2 linked regions of the Nothobranchius furzeri genome follow. The protein of the gene in region 1 purifies or fractionates together with the protein of each later gene. This does not show direct contact. Links are inferred from orthologs where the notes say so. Each region holds a gene or a part of one and is shown on either strand. Other genes may lie near its edges. The genes, in order: orc5 and lrwd1.

The links.
Region 2: the proteins of orc5 (region 1) and lrwd1 purify together in Homo sapiens (affinity purification with mass spectrometry; 4 studies listed by BioGRID and IntAct, with this or other methods). This does not show direct contact. The link is inferred for Nothobranchius furzeri from reciprocal best matches to the Homo sapiens genes ORC5 and LRWD1.

The regions. Positions count from the first base shown.
Region 1 is NC_091741.1:42,936,182-42,940,449, reverse strand, and holds the start of orc5 (origin recognition complex subunit 5), read right to left. Parts: upstream 3,054-4,268; 5' UTR 2,917-3,053; coding exon 2,803-2,916; intron 2,129-2,802; coding exon 2,036-2,128; intron 836-2,035; coding exon 650-835; intron 441-649; coding exon 366-440; intron 1-365. Other genes in the region: lhfpl3 (LHFPL tetraspan subfamily member 3 protein), read left to right, coding at 4,202-4,268. UniProt on the Homo sapiens protein: Component of the origin recognition complex (ORC) that binds origins of replication. DNA-binding is ATP-dependent. The specific DNA sequences that define origins of replication have not been identified yet.
Region 2 is NC_091750.1:30,550,368-30,554,655, forward strand, and holds the start of lrwd1 (leucine-rich repeat and WD repeat-containing protein 1), read right to left. Parts: upstream 3,031-4,288; 5' UTR 2,959-3,030; intron 2,563-2,958; 5' UTR 2,551-2,562; coding exon 2,447-2,550; intron 2,288-2,446; coding exon 2,053-2,287; intron 1,580-2,052; coding exon 1,460-1,579; intron 1,274-1,459; coding exon 1,127-1,273; intron 1,034-1,126; coding exon 941-1,033; intron 800-940; coding exon 461-799; intron 307-460; coding exon 189-306; intron 40-188; coding exon 1-39. Other genes in the region: alkbh4 (alpha-ketoglutarate-dependent dioxygenase alkB homolog 4), read left to right, coding at 3,257-3,421, 3,712-3,900, 3,983-4,288. UniProt on the Homo sapiens protein: Required for G1/S transition. Recruits and stabilizes the origin recognition complex (ORC) onto chromatin during G1 to establish pre-replication complex (preRC) and to heterochromatic sites in post-replicated cells.

The sequences.
Region 1 (4,268 bases):
TAATTGGCACCTGGCAGCAAAAAAAAGATGCATAAAGTGAGTTTTGCATTATATGTCCCCTTTAATTCTTACATCATTCTCCACATACCCATGATTCTACGTCTTAATTATCACTTCAAAATCCCATGTGGCAGCACTGCAACAGGATCACAGCTTGTACAGAAAAAAAACATCACTTGAGTCTATTTAAAATGCAGCAAGTGGTTGCCATCTTTCCTTCCTAACAGCATTATGAAAGAGCTCTCTACAAACAGCAGCTCAAGGACATTTCCTCACTAATAAAACTCTTCATCATCGGCGCAGTTTATCAACAACAAAGCGTTTTGGGTGATAAACACCACAAAGAGCGAGCTGTGTTTTCTCACCAGTTCCTGAAGACGAAGGAGGGCAGGAAGAAGATTGGCATCGGCGTCTCTTAGAAGTTCAGGCTTCTCCATAATCTGAAACATATCCACGTGTTTACTTTCGGTTTACAACATTTACACTCACTAAATAAAAGGTGTTTAAATGAAAAACACTTTCAGTCCAAATTCTACATCAAATTAACACTGTTTCTGGCACAGAAACGTCAGGTCAATACATCTGGAGCTTTGTTTACCACTTGCATTACAACAGATGGCATCATAAATAACACAGATGTGTCACTCACGATGTATCGCGTCTGCTCAGCAGGAAACTGGGAGGATTGTTGCCTGTAGATCCGCACAAAGTCAGACAAGGAGGGACTACGAGGGAGCAGCGAGGCAGCATCGCAGCCAAAGAAGGACAGTAGCACTTGTTCAAACAGCAACGCAACAGACACACATTCGACGCAGCTGACCGTGGCGTGAGGAAGCTGAGGAGGAGAAGGAGCAATGGTGAAGGTCAAAAAGTCATAAGATGGGTGAACATAAAAACTCCACTCTGTGTTAATTTTTAATCCGATTTAAAAAGTAATAAATTTCCCCACTGTGTGATTAATAAAGTCTATTTTATTCTAACATTTGATGAAAGAAATACAAATTAAATAAATAAAAAGTATGCTGGGGCCTTTATATAAAAACCTTGAATGAATGTATTTGTGATTCGGGTCTTTTCTGGACAAAAGAAGGCCCTGATGTACACTTTTTGTAGCCACCACTTTTATGTGAACGTTTGTAGAAGAAACACAAACTACTTTGAGTTCTTTATAATAAAACCCATATAAAAACCACTGGCAAGAAAGTAGCCATCCATAAACTACAAATTTTAATATTCTACACGATTTAAAAGGCTTTGTTTGCTTCTAGATATTTTGTTATTGTAATAGTACTCTGCAGTGGTCTGTTTAAAGGTTTACACAAGCTGAAAGAGTAAGGATCCAACTCTGAAATAAAACAAGCCCACATGTTCATCACTTGTCCTTCAACCATCTTTTTTTTCCAGAAAGGCGACTTATTGTGCTCAAACTCTGGATTTTATAATCAGCCCACATTTCATGAAGTAAAGCTAATAGACTTGTTAAATGTAAAATAAACTATTTCAAGCGGTTATTTCTTGTCATTCTCATGATGATGTAATACAGATCATGTCAAAGTGATGAATGGCCTGCATTTGTTTATTAGCGCCTTTCTGAGTTAGAGGACTCCAAAGTGCTTCAACCTACAGTCATTCACACACTGATGAGCTACACTGTAACCACAGCTAAACTGGGGCATTTTGACGGAGGCGAGGCTCCCTTACACAGGTGCCACAGGTCCCTCCAACCACTGACAGTCTGACACAATGGCCAACTCAACACAGCCTGGGATTGAACCAGTAAACCACCAGTTACAGAGTGAACTCCTAACCCCTAAGCCACCTTCACCCCTTCATAATGTTCTTATTTTATGGAGCATGAATTTGGGGTTTTTCTTATCTGTAACCTTTAATATTCCTAATTACAAGGAATAAACTATTTTAGTCTGTGTAATAAATAAATGGGTATCAATTTCTGAAATGAGGGACAAGCATAGAAATTTGCCATTTAATGAATTTTTTTTTGGAAAGGCACCCATAGACAATAAGTATCTCTCACCTCCAACTCTTCCATCAAAATATTTGTCACGTGACTTTTTCCTGAGGACCGATGGCCATAGATGAAGACTGAAGGGTAGCAGTACTGCTGTGGCTGGAAGAGCATAAAAATAGCATTTTTGTATCAATATTTTTTTGCATTTTAATGTATAAATTTCCCAAGGATTAAAATGTCATCATCTACTCACAACATTAGAAGCTTGTAACAATAGCTTTGTCACAAAAAAAAAAAAAAAAAAATAAGCTACTGCTGGCTCTTGATTATCCCACAGCTTCATATTTTTTAGATATTTTTTTAGATTCTCGTATAACTTTAGAATTACACCAAAATATATTTTGCTGCAGTTGCCCAAACATAATTTACATTAGGGAATTATGTCATCTTGATGCAGCTTTTATTTAGGTTTAGATGTCTGTAAACATATGAAGGTTTCTGGGTACCATTGTATTTTCTCAAGCAAACTTATATTATAAAAATGTGTAAATATGTACTGCAAAGAAAAATCATGCAATAAATTGAAAAAGCTCTACTGAGGACAGCCCGTTGTGCTCAAACAGCCAAATGACACCATCAAGATTATACAACTTGCATTGCACTAACACAAAAAGATTTGATGAGCATCTTCGGCAAGCTGTAATGTGCCTGCGAAACAAAGGTTTACAGACGTGAAACTCCAGTTTACCTGACAGAGAAAACACAATCAAACGCTGACAGTGAGAATGGAGACCAAGCCAACGATTCTTTTAAACCACCATTATAGTTCCTACCTGTCCCATGAGAGACAGCAGCATCCCAGCCTGGACTTCTCTACAAGGCAGCAGCTCTGAGACTCTTTTTAGCCTTTCTTCGTCGTATCCTGGTTGCTGTAACAGCCCCGTCATCCTTACCGTCCAACTCCCAAATATGCCCGCACGGTTTAATCGTCACGAGGCTTAGAATAATCTGTCTAAAACCGTGACAGTTAGCATAAAACTCGGCTTTTTGTAACTGAAAGTCCACCGACACGAGGCGGAAAAGACGAACACAGGCGGTAATTTGGGAGGAAAAAGTGCCAAAAAGAGAATTAACGTCGGGAAAGTACCGATAGAACAAGTTGGGGGTAAACTAACACCCTGAAAGAAACCAAGTAAGCAACTTTAAATGATGAGAAAATGCATTTTCTCTTAAGAGAACTGGATAAAACGTTAGCTGCATTTTCTCGCGCGCCTTCGAATTGCGTAGAAACGTGATCCTCTGTTACCCAATGAAAATAGAGCTCAGAACTCTGGGAAATGTAGTTTAAAGGTTAAACACAATTTAAATAGCATATTTTGGATTTGATGTGGTGATTTTAGGTTAGTATTTTAGTAATATAGGGATTTATCTACAATATGATCCAGAAATAATAGCATTGACTTAATCTACTACTTTTGTAACGAACATTTTAATACGTCACTGTTTTATATTGGTTGAAATAACAAACTCTGTCTAGTTCTTAAATTTAAATATTTGATTGTTTGTCAGTCTAGATAGCAAAAAAATCAGTTCATTTGGTAAAATTACTAATTTGCATGAATTAAGATTTGATGATTAAAAATGAAAACATTCCGAAAAATCATAATGATCACTGATCGCTTTGTGTTTTTATCTTTGTTCGTTTTAGTAGTAAAAATAAGTAATTTTTAGTCATGCAAAATCTCTAATTCATTGCCACTGAAGTCATGTTACCATATTTTCTGTACATTTTTCATTTTAAATCTTTGTGTTTGAAATTTCGCGCGAGCAACGTCAGAATGGGATTAAGGGATGTGGGTTGGCCCTGTACTATACACGGACATCTGCGGTTGTGCTCCTCAGACGGATCCGTGCAGGGAGATCTCACACATCCCCTGATAAGAAGCGGACTGCATTCCACTACATATGCGCGCAAATGGAGAATGAATCTGCAAATGGATTACCGGCGCTCGTATTTTCCCAGAGCCACGTTTCGATTCTGCAGGCTGATGAATGAAAATCGGAGCTCCAGAACAGAAATCAGGACCCGGCCTTGCCTCTATACAGTGCAGCTGATGCTGTGGACACGAGTGTAAGGAAAGAAAACACAACCGAACCAGAGGAAGTTCTGCTGATTACCAGATGAGGCAGGTGCCACTTTGATCCGCATCCTCCCCACACAGACCAGAGGAAATGGTCCCCGGGGCTCCCAGCGCGACCACCACCATGCTCCCTGCCTCCGAGGCTGCCAAAATCTACC
Region 2 (4,288 bases), on another chromosome or scaffold:
CTCCACATGTAGCGACCAGGCGGCTTTCACTGCAACAGCCTGTCAAAGCAGGGTTTCACAGCTCGCTCAGAGCCTCACAAACAACTCTAGTAAAGCGTTAGCTATCCGCTTTCATACACAGCTGTTGCTGTAAACCACGGAGGACTTGTTCTGATAAATCTGAGTGGATCAGAGGGGTTCATCAGTACCAGAGGAGCCTGACAGAGGCTGGAAAGCGCAGGCCCACAGCTGCGTGGAGAAGTCCCCGGAGCTGTCCTGTTTACTGTGACACTGGAGCACGTGGAGAGGCTTCAGATGCACCGGCTGCTGGAGGATCACACACAAGAGACGGATGAGAACGAACACAAACCCCTGTGGGTTGTTGTCTGACAAGATTGTGTCTTGTACGGAATAAACGACGACACTGGAATGTTTTTGTGGTTCTACAGCATCTAAAGGAGTCATCTGTGTGTTTCTTTACCTGACTCTTAGTACAAATCTTTATTATAGGCAGAGTGTACTGACTCCTGTGCAGCTGTTTGGTTTTGCTGACTTCTTTTTTCTGTTCAACCCGAACTTCTTCCTCTTCGAGTTGCTGTGATTTAGACCTCTTCCTGGGCGTCTCTGTCCTCGCCTGTCCTCTGGTGGGAGTGGAGACAGCCCCGTCTGTCCGGAGAGAGACCCTGCGGGACTTGCGAGGGCTGTCTTCAGCAGCTGAAGATTCTAGAGCGTTGACTCTCAACTTCTTGTGAGGCGTCAAAATTACTTTATCATCTGTCACCAGTTTGGTTCGTTTCCTCTTGGAAGGCGAGGAAATTATCTGAGAAAAGGAAGATAGAGTAAAATGTTTGACCCAGTTTGAACAGAAACAGCAAGAAGTTTTATTTAGAGACGCCATTTGTGCCAATGACAGTATTGTAACAGTGAAGTTTAAATAAAAGGTGCTGATTAGCAATCTTACACAGTTCTTTGTGGCCTCAGCAGACTCCTTGGGGATGAAGTCTTCTTTTGGTTGTGTCAGTGAGCGCAGATGCTCTTTAGCAAGAATCTCCACCTGAAAAATCAAAAGGAAGTAAAAACAAAACTGTTAAAAAGGGATGAAAATTAGCAAAAAAGTCCCAGAGATCCTTGTAAATTCAGGACTTGCCCTCCATTTGGTGAAATCGCTGACTGAACTGGGACCAAATTTGACTTGATGACGAGCAGCGTTCACAAAGTTCTTCTCCAGATCGGACATTTTGCCGGCCGTGATGGGATCTGGGAGACTGAAGCTCCGCTCCCAAACTGTGACTATCTGAAATCAAGCAGCAGCTGAGTGACCCAAGTGTGGGATATGATGAGAAAGTGCAGCAGCTGGGTCGTTTCCTTTTAAAATGCAACATTAGAGGTGTGATGCAATCGAGAGCCACAGCTTAACTCAAAGTCTAATGAATAATCATCATGAATGTTTTCAAACGAAAGTATTAAACGGTTTTCATACCCTGGTCCTCAGGTTGTCACTGAACACGTATCGTAAGTGGCTGGCAGTGGTGCTGACATCTTTGTTGTTGTAAATCCTCAGTTTGGGCAGCAACACCATCAGCTTGTAACTATCACTTATCTAAAAATAACAGAGTCAGGACTTGATCTCAGTTGTAAAAGAGAATTTTAAAGTTTGAGACAAAAATAAAGGAATATCTAACAAAAAGGAAAAGCTGCAGCGCTGCAGAGAACAAAAAGACGTGCTAATAAAACATCTAGACTTGTTGAAGTAGTTATCTGATGACAGCGTTAGAGGAAAACTTCCTTTTGGTTTGTTTTTTTCACCTCATGTGGATATTGTCGCGGTAAAATAGTCATGGGTGGAAAAACTGCATCACATGTAACAACCAGACTCCAAAAGATGCCACGGTAACGTTTTACGATTCTGTAAAGTTCTGAGATGAATTCAAAGACAGAAATTATACTTAAACCACTCATTTAAATAAGACCAATCGAATAGTTTGAATTTTAAAAAGGCAGCTCCGTCCTTTATGTTATAACAGAGACGGAACGGTACTGGATTACATGCGACAAAAACAGCCAAGTCCTCACTGTGATGTAAAAGTTGTCATCCATTTTTAGTTCCTCCAAGCTGCTCAGAGACTCTAAGGTGGTGACATCCTCCATCTGGTTGTTGGTGAGGTCCAGGTACCGAAGTGCAGGTAGCTTCAGGTTCTTTGGAAGCTCCTGCAGCCTGTTCCCGGATAGATCCCACCGCTCCAGGGACTGCAGGCGGGATAGCAGCTTCACAGGAAGATCCCCGTGCTTCAGCGCCATCTTAGACAGACTAAATAGAAGAAACCCGTCAAGTCAACATGGGGATTTTAGATCAAGCTTCATATCTGCAAGTAAAACTAATTTTACTATTAAATGCGATTAGTCATCAACTGATAAAAGAGTGACTTCACCAGAACACACAAATAGTTAATCAAGGGGGAAGACTTACTTCAGAGTTTTGATTTGCTCCAGTTTGTTGGTTTTTGGAGAACCTTTCTCCAGTAAAAGCTTCTCTGTTACATTCTCCATAGCTGATCTGCTGGAAAAGGACATCTAATGTGGAATCTATCAGCAAAATAACATGTTAAACTTTTATTCGCACTCACTGATTAAGTTGTATGGCCTGATAAGTTTAAATAATGTCTGTACTTAAAACGAGCTAAATATTTAGCATTTTTTCATTTAGTAAAGAGACGATGCCATTGCCAAGTGACATCTTTACTGAGAAAAATTTAATATAACCAAATCAACTTCATGCTTCAGCAAGGTAAAACTGAATCTGTTAGTTTGATTTCGATTGGTTTTACTTTAGCAGTAGCTAGCATAACCACGTTGACACGATCGATTAATCAACTCTTTGCTAGGTTAGTAGTTAGTAATATAACTGACTCTTTTTCTAGCCATAACAAATGAGCAAACACCTTTAATAATGTTTAATAAAGTATTTTTTATGTTACTTACCAACTCCTCTCTGCAACTTTTGTGTCTGCAACACAACTGACCTTTCCCGGGGAAACTCCGTCTACATCCGGTGGGCGTGGTTTACCTAAAACTTTGGCCACAGTTTACCCTGAACATTGGCTGTAAGACAAGTCAAACAAATACGACTTTCGATTATTATATTTCTTGTTTATCACATATATTACTAAGTATTGTCATATTTTGTTTTATTTGAAATTTTAATGCGCCAATAACAGTGCGGCAGAACGAAAATAGGGGTTAAAAGAAGTAATTTTACGCCTGCGGCTCCGTCCGCTAGATGGCAGTGGAGCTACGATTTCCAAGTAGAAGAAGATGCAACATGATGATGATGGTCTCTGACGACGGCGACGGGGTTATTCCATGCGCTTGTAAAGGCATCCGACGCTGTCTTGTCTGTGAAACGTTTAAGGCGAGTGTACTGCTTGAAACAAGAGAGTCAAAGGTACGTGTGTCGAACAAAAATCTCAGTTTTAATGTGCGATGTAACGTCTGTAAACCTTGGTACGGAAGCCCTCACTGGACAAATTGTGTTGTTTATCAAAAATCACTCTTGTTTGTTCTGACAATATTCTGGTACAATGTTGTAAATTTGATTTAAATAATGAGATACAACCCTGGTTTATTTAAATGTTGACGGCATGTATCTTTACTTATTGTGAAATGAAATTTTATAATTAAAACATGTCATCACAGCTTTTGTTTATTAATGTTATCTCTGTTTTTGGTATGAAGATTGTGCATCATTTCCTCTATAATGCCAAGACGGGGCTCGCTGTCAGCGAAGATGAAGAGGGCTCTTCCTTCCCTTTTTCTGGAGTCTTCCTGTGGGAGAACTTTATATCAGAGGAGGAGGAGAGGGAGCTGATTAGCGTAATGGACCAGGATGTGTGGCATCCCTCACAGTCTGGCCGAAGGAAACAGGTGGAAAACATTTAATGAAAATGTACTTTTTTGTGGGTTACATATTTTTAACATTCAAATTTTTCATTTTACACGGTTGCAGGACTTTGGCCCTAAAGTAAACTTCAAGAAGAGAAAAGTGCGCATCGCAGACTTTACTGGACTTCCTGCTTTAAGCCAAAAACTGGTGCTGCGGATGCAGCAAGATGCAAATCTTGCGGGCTTTCAACCAGTGGAGCAGTGCAATCTGGATTACGCTCCGGAGAGAGGCTCAGCCATTGATCCGCACCTGGATGACTCCTGGTTGTGGGGGGAGCGGCTGGTCACCATCAACATGTTATCAGAAACTGTGCTCACCATGTCTCTTGAGCAGGGTCTGCCAGAGTTGGGACTTTCAGAGGAAGTCCAG